2 linked regions of the Coturnix japonica genome follow. The protein of the gene in region 2 interacts with the protein of the main gene of each other region in a pairwise test. Links are inferred from orthologs where the notes say so. Each region holds a gene or a part of one and is shown on either strand. Other genes may lie near its edges. The genes, in order: RASA1 and DLC1.

What was found.
Region 1: the proteins of DLC1 (region 2) and RASA1 interact in binary tests that used the Homo sapiens proteins (3 or more experiments, as listed by UniProt). The link is inferred for Coturnix japonica from reciprocal best matches to the Homo sapiens genes DLC1 and RASA1.

Annotation. Positions count from the first base shown.
Region 1 is NC_029547.1:54,337,392-54,341,217, forward strand, and holds part of RASA1 (ras GTPase-activating protein 1), read right to left. Parts: intron 3,765-3,826; coding exon 3,644-3,764; intron 1,774-3,643; coding exon 1,617-1,773; intron 1-1,616. UniProt on the Homo sapiens protein: Inhibitory regulator of the Ras-cyclic AMP pathway. Stimulates the GTPase of normal but not oncogenic Ras p21; this stimulation may be further increased in the presence of NCK1.
Region 2 is NC_029519.1:58,027,150-58,031,571, reverse strand, and holds the start of DLC1 (rho GTPase-activating protein 7), read right to left. Parts: upstream 3,074-4,422; 5' UTR 2,978-3,073; intron 1-2,977. UniProt on the Homo sapiens protein: Functions as a GTPase-activating protein for the small GTPases RHOA, RHOB, RHOC and CDC42, terminating their downstream signaling.

The sequences.
Region 1 (3,826 bases), on a different chromosome or scaffold from region 2:
AACAAAAAAAAAAAGTTTTATTCATCTTTGTAACGTTTACAGACACCTTCACTTATTAATCTCAGACTGTACATCAGGAAAAATTTCTTTACACTGTGAGAGTGGTCAGACACAGGCACGGGCTTCCTATAGAGGTGGTGGATGCCCCATGCCTGATTTATATTGTATAAGAAAGCATACTGGCTTACAGTCAAAGCATAAGTAATCACCTTGAAACATGAAAGACTTGCCACTACAATCTATTCCCACAAACTTTTAAAAACAAGCAAAGGCTCAGCATTAGTTCCCAAGCAATTAAAGACACATGAAGGATTTGTTCTTTCAGGAAATACTACCATAAGAAATCCCCTACATGAATGTGCCCCACAGGACTCATGGCCAATAAAATGTTTATTGGGTCACACAGCAACCATTTGCTACACACCTCTAAATCTGTACATGGAATTATGGTGTCTCGGCCATTTTGTATGCCACCATCCATTTGTCAAAAACACTACCAAGTGTTAAATTACAAGCTATTTTAAATGACACTTTGTTCACAGCCTTCCAGTTTATGTTGAAGGAAACCTAGCTGTCCCAATCATTGCATTATACAAAATCTCATTTCTTTTTCCAGTGGAATTTCAACCTTCTGTTCTCCATCTGTTTCACTGGCTGGTGAATGTGTCCATGTCACAGCATGGGGGAGAGCAGGAAGTAACCGGAGCTAGAGCTCTTTATATCACTACCCTCAAAGAAACAAGCAAAACTACAAACTTCATCGTACTTCTGAGAAAAGGGCAAAAACAGAGTTTGGGATTATTTTTCTTATTTTTTTCCTTCTTCCAATAGCAGCTACTTAAAATATCGGAGGAACTTTACCTCAGCTACAGTTCCTCACTATCAGCTAAAGTTTCCTTCAGTTGATGAAACCATGCATTTCCTTCTCCCCACATTCAGAACCAGTTACTGCCCAGTTTCACAGCAGAGCGCTTCTTAGGAGGTAGTCATCAAACAAACTGTTCCTTCTTTACATTGTACAAATATGCACCAAAGCTTCCTTCATAATTGCCAGCTTACATACAGAAAATTTCAAGTGTTTATTTATTATGGATGGTACCATGGATTTTTAGAATTTTTGAGTAAAAAAAAAAAGGTTGGAATAAAAATGCCAAATATTTGGGATACTCATCTTAAATAGAAAACTCTTTATAAACTCTGCCTATCCAAGTTAGCTTTCAAATATCTATCAAAGGTACAATGATGTCTCAGCATTGACAAAACCCTTAATCTTCTCAATTCTTGATTCTATCTGGTCAAAACCCTCAGCATTATTTCATCATTTCTCACGTATCTATCACAAAACATGAAACAATTATTATGCTTAATATTCAGATACAATAACACAAAAAGCTTGAATGATTACACCTTATTTCACAAAAAAAACCTTTAACTTGAAATACCAAAATCGTTAATTTCAATTAGTTTAGGAACAGTTACTAGTATGAATATGAATGAATAACTGCAATCAATACAAGCCAGCTCACTGGCAACAAGTTGCATTTGCACTGTGCATGTCTGAAACTAACAGTCAAGTCTCCTGCTGCACATACAAGAATTATGGGCCAGCATCCTACCTGCCAAACAAGCTGTCATGTACTCCATACACAGAACACACGCTAAGGTCTATTAGTCCTTTGGGTTTTGTGGCTCGTTTTTCACTTTCAAAATAAATAAGCTGGGCATCATTTCCCTCTAATATAAAGTATAAGTTTTTCCATCTTTTTCCTTTACCTGTAGGAAAGTAAAGCCAGAAGTTGTAATTGTTTTAAATAAAACATCAATTTTGTAAATTCAGATAACAAAGCAGAGCTGTTTCTGTCAAGCATCAAACAGAAGGATATTTAGCTAATCACTATTATAATGGCATAGCTAGTCACTGTAGAAGACCAACAAAAAACACTTTCTGACCTGCTGGGTGTATTTGATTTAAAAAGACACCTGAAAGGGACCCCCGTGAGTCATCATCTTCATATTGTCAATGGTCATCATTACTGTTTGCTGATTCAAGACTATAACCTCTGGCCAAGTGCACACCCTCCCCTCACCCCTTCTTCAGCACTGCAGGCTGACACTGGAACTCTTTGAAAGAGACCTTTTGAACAGTCTGGTGACCAATCCTTTTCCTGTCAATTTTTCTGACTCTCACCCCTTGTCTGTTTTCCTCAGTTTCACCTTTTCATTATTTTTCTCTCATAAAATTAAGTTTCCTAAAATCTGTAACAACTTCATGAGATAAGTCAAAATTGTTAAGTACTAATGTTATTCTGGTTCTTTAATATCATATAGTTTATCTGGATGGTTTAACGTAGATTCTAAGTATTAGAGTGCCAGTATTTTGAGGATAATTGTAGCATGTAGGTTATCATGAAAATGGATGATTGAATGTGGACCTCCTATGCATCATTTTACCATAACCTAACCGGGGGCATTCATGAATCTGGTCATCAGTTCCCTCCCTTTAGGGGCAGGATGTGACAATCACACACATATCAGTATATATATACACATATATATATAAGCATATATACTCAATTTTGTGCAACATATAGCTAAATCCAGACTATCACCACAGTTTTACATATGGTTGCAATTAGTTCTTTAAACATCTTAATTTCATCAAGACTGCATATGCGAGTGCATACAAGCTGCTAGGACACTGTGTACACATGAATAGGTTGACTTGGTATCTGTACAGTTAACAGTTTATGTCCTGATTCACCGATCCCATTTTATTCCAATAACTTTTAATTAGGAAACAGGCTCTAGACAAGAGAACGCTACTCCTGAACTCTGAGCAATTTGCAGTAGGAACATCAAAGCACCATAAAAAATATGACTGAACAGCAGAGATGGGAACACATTATATGCAGATCTGAATTAGAATCACACGCTTTTATCCACCAAATTGTCAACTTTCATTTTTCATTCAGAGAAATTAATCTCTGACCTCCAATGGATTAGATCTTCCTGGAACTAATTCATATATGACACAATATGTTTTAGAAAAATAAAATAAAATAAATGCAGATTTATCTTTATAGTTTGAATATGATGAACTCACCACACTAGCAGTGTGGTTTTGAAAACACGACTCTACCATCCAGTTATTACATTGTCCACTAGATGGCAGATAGATTATATTTGTTCCATATGTGGCTATGGGCACCTCTCTACATCTACACAGCACTCCTGTTTGCATTTTCAAGTATCTCATTTTCTCTTCTAGCTAAAATTAATTATGGCTGATGGTACCAGTGATATAACCCTGAAAAAGTCCCTATGTATCTTATAGATAAAACAGTACTTTTAAGATTTAAAATATGCAGCGTAGCCTGGAATAACAAAATAGCTCTGATCTGCAATGATCAGATTTATATCCTCCTAGCTTGCTTCAATCTATTCTGTCTGAAAAAATATGAGCTTCAAGTAAAACACACAGTTTTGGTTACCATACTTTTTATCAGACTTTTTCACACTCTTCACACATTTTCTCTATCTTTTCGCTTCTACTTTGTCCTTTCTAGTACTAGTTTTATGTAATAAGTTACCAAACATGCATCCATGTTTGTTCCACAGAAAAAAAGCCATAAGCAGAACTCACTTTTCTTCAGAAGATAGCCTTTTTTGACAATGTTTTTATAGAAAGCATCCTTAGTTTTGCGACGAATTGTATTGTAAATTTCTTTTCCATCCAATGTATCATTGAACACTTGCTCTTGGTGCTAGGAAAGAAGGAAGAAAACAACGTATTTTAAGTTCAGAAACTGCTATTTAAAAAAAAAAA
Region 2 (4,422 bases):
AGGCATGAGAAATCAAACAAATAAAAAAAAAGAAAAAAAAAAACACTACACGCTGAAATGGCAACAATAGAGTAAATGCAGCTTGTGCAGATTTACTTGACGTTAGCTACCAGTTGGCTAGAGACTTCCAGACCAAATTATTGTGTTTTCAGGTTATACCACTTGTAATATATGCAATTGCATTATATTCTACCTAAAGATAAATCAAGTGAAGGATGACAATAATGCGGCAAACAATAAATTGGAACAAGATGATGTTCCAATTGTTTCTTACATATATAAATACACACACACACACATACATATATATACACACACATACATACACACATATATAAGAACTTAATACCATGATAATCCTAATTTAATTTCCTTACAACAGTTGAGACCTGGGAAAAGCTTGTACAGCAATATCAGAAATATAAAGGGCAATTCAGAACATTCAGGAAAACAAACTGATTTTTTTTCTGGTAGTCTGAAATAAACACATTTTGCCAGGCTAAATATCAGTCTCAGAGTTCTCTCATTCACTGAGCTGCCTTTGTCAGTGTCAGGAAGTTAAAAGCCTTATTAGCCATCAGCTAACAATTTTGGTAACAATAGGTAGAAATGCATTAAGAAGATACTATCGATATAATTCACAAAGACTGCCTGCCCTCAGGACACAGTTACATTCAAATATCAATAAAATCTGTATTCCTGTAATTTCCCTATCACCTCTGCTTTTCATCAAATGAGACTAGCGATATGTTCTTTACTGCCAAGCATGGAAAGAGTGAAATGATTTCTCTCTCCCCATACACAGTGTCTGCAATCTGCATAACTCTCACGAAGTTACAGAACTCTTGCTATACAGCAAGACTACTTTTTGGCTGGGGCAAAGGATAGGGGAGTATGTGGAAGAACACGTAGGAAATGAGGTTTTAACTGCAAAAAATAAGTATTAATATGTCAGATAACTTCATATGCAGATGCAAAAGACTCTTCCTTTGGCTTCTGTTTTTTCTCCTCTTCTGTTCCCTGCTCCAAAAATGCCCTTCTTGTTCAAATCGTGCAAGGCACTGCACTTGTGTATAGTCTGTTTTGTTCCACAGGGAAGAGTGAAAAAAAGTAAGAAAACAAAGCAAACAATCTGGAGACTTCTCACAACATTTGGATATGGATGACATTCAAGTATGGAAAGTAAAGAATGGGTCATTGTTCATTGTCATCTTTCCAGGGAAGCAATTTTCATTGCTCTACATTGTCATGAGATAAATATTAACGCTTTTTTCCCCCAAGAAATGGGAACAGAAAACCTGTTCAATTCACAGCAAAATGTGCTATAGGGCCTGTGGAGGAGAAGCTCTTTGAAAAATAAAACATTTTTTGCAATGGACAAAGCACGTGGGATAAAGTCTGCTAAAGCTATCAGACAGCCGTATAAGTGTTGAATATATCAAAAACTATATAACTAAGAAACCAAATGAACCACTTGTTTAATATACTAAGAGATAGCCCAGTTAGTGTCAAATACCATAAGAGAATATGGTACATACGACTGTGAGATTCAGTGCCTCTAAAACTAAGTAGCTCAAACACAACAGGACCCTGATCATTCACTAATTTGTGAATGAACAGGGTTAGCAGCTGAAAATACTCCTAATCACTGCCCTCAGAAAAAGAGCAGTTGGAGAAGCACAGGAAAGGCAGTTGTCCTTCCAAACTTTTTGGTGACAAGGAACACTTAAACATTAATGATTGCTATGACAATTTACACGTATAAGTCAATTTTATTATTATGACTCAGACATTTCATTACATAGACTTCTCTGTGTATCTGTTAATGAAGTAATTTATGCTGTAGCTGATTATGTACATAAAACAACCAGTCTAACAAAGATAAATTATTATATTTCCTTTCACAAGCAGTACCCAAAGCAGGGAATACATTTAATAGACTTGAGATTTCCTAGCACTCTCTAATTTGGGTTTCAGAATTTTTCAGTAGGGGAACATTTTAAGAGCAGGTTAAAATGATTTTTTATTCACTTACAGTTACAAGTAGGTGCTCTATACATCACACTGACAACGTAAACCTCCAAAGTATAAAAGTCAAAGACCCTTGCCCTACCTAAAAGCAAACTGATAGATAAAACCGAGGAATTTCAATTAAGAATGAATGTGCAATTACTTTAAGGAAGAATAAAACCAAGCTATCCATTAGGAATATACAAGCAGCTGTTTAAAAAAAAAAAAAAAAAAAAGGCTGTGTGATCATTCAATTAGCTCTCAACCTTGAAGGCCACAGATCATTTCATTTGTCACCACATCGATTAGGCAGCTCTACATTTTGAGGGCTGCTTGCCATTAGGTCATTAAATCCAGATAATTTATTTTCTTAGATTTGCATGAATACATCCTACATTAGCTAATTAAGAAAGTCAGAAAATTTGTATCAAGCCCTTTTTATGTGTATAACAAATTACTATTCTGAAAACGCAGACATATTATATGTATTTCTTCAAGGTAAATTACAAGCAAGGACTTACTTAAAACTGAAAATTGTCATATCCATTCTGTTAACTATGAAACTACAAGATAAAAATAAATACTGAAGAAATAAATAGAAATACTATTTATTTAAAAATATTTAATTTAGAAATAGTAAACATCTTAAGTAAGAATCTTAAGTATTCTCTCAAAATCATAAAAATCAACATATGAAGTACAAGAGCCATTTCTAGAATTTTTACATGCTTTTGAACCCTCCTTTTTCCAATGATAAAACAACATCCACATTTATCAGGAGCTTGAATTGAAAATATACTAACTCTAACAAGTAAAGGCAGTTATACAGTTTTTAAAACACTTTTTTTTTTTTTTTCATAGAAGCTGAACTGATACTGTAGTATCTGAAGTAATTTTATTTAAAGAAAAATTACTTAGAAATGCTTTCTTGTTTTGTTTCAAGGTGTATCAAAGATCATTCTCCTACCTTAGTTAAAGATGCCTGCTTCTGACTGGAGCAGTTTTACTTGCATGCTTGTAAACTCTTGAGCAGTAATCCTGTTATGTGTCTACAGCAGTTTCATAGGGGTGGGACTTCTATCTAATAATGAATTCACCAGGGAATCTTCCTGTTCAAAGAACACTGCTGCAGAAAAGGCACTCTACATTTACCGTCACAAGGTTTTAGATGATTAGGTTGACACAGGGAGTAAGTACACTTACATATATTTAGTGATGTGGAATAAAATATTTTCTATATGGTAACATTTGGACAAAAAGACTGAAAATTGCATTATGCTTTACAGGAGAATTTTAAATGTGTGTGTGTATACAGAGATTAAAGAAAATAAATATGAGAAAATCACTTATCTAGTGTGGGTGTAGCATACCGACATGACTGGTAAGGTTAGTAATTTTAAACATTTAATCTGAGAAGCAGAAACTCAAAATCATATTTTAAAATGTGTATTAATACATTCAAAATTGTACTTTAAAGTACCGATTCATACTTTAAAAGTTATATTTTATTGTATCATCATAAATGATGAGCTGCCTAAAAAGCAGATGCACATCCACACACTGGCAACCACTAATTTCCCCTGTCCAGTGGCAGCACAGATCTAATGAAGGAGCCCTGTAATATGTTAACTAACTCAATAACATCAAAACTAGCTTCCTACAAGCTCTGTGAATGTGAGTGGTGATACTTTTGGCCACTATTAAGATGTACGAGCAAAAAAATACTGGAGAAGACTTACATGGTTATCGAAAGAGACATTTCTGACAAGGCTACAGCACCGAGCATGAAAAAGGCTGAGAAAGTGTTCCGCTGTTCAATCAACCACATTAGTGAAGCTAAATCATCCAGCGTTTTTCTCATCTTGTTTGTAAATTATGAAAAGCAAAATAAAGCACATCTAGACCTAAAGTTAACAAAACCAAGTTAAAAATAGAACTTGAAGGATTTTAAGATACCCAAATTTAAAATAATCGAGATCCTCAATTTTTGCTAATGTCTAAATCAGGAAAACCTCTAAAGGAATCTACATAATATAAATAGAACTAAGATTCCTATCTGCCTCTAGAATTGCATGTTTAGTTATTCGCAGATGTCCATTTGAAGACAGGGTTGAGAATGTTTGTAGCTAGCTCTTTCAAAATGTGAAATTGGGCCAAGTAAACAGATGGTTCATTCCCTAAAATACTTAAAAAGCACCACCCTACCTTTCTGCTTCTGCTTGATGCCTCTGATACATTGACGCCTCAATACAGGTACTGAGAGTCACACCTTTCTCTGAATTGCTCTGATTCAGCATTGATTCAGTGTAAGGAAGACAAATCAACTCCCCTGCCTTTGATTTCATTTCCCAACTGTATTCAAGTGCCCTTGTTGATGCAAGTCACAAAGTGGTCTATGTGCTTACTACACCT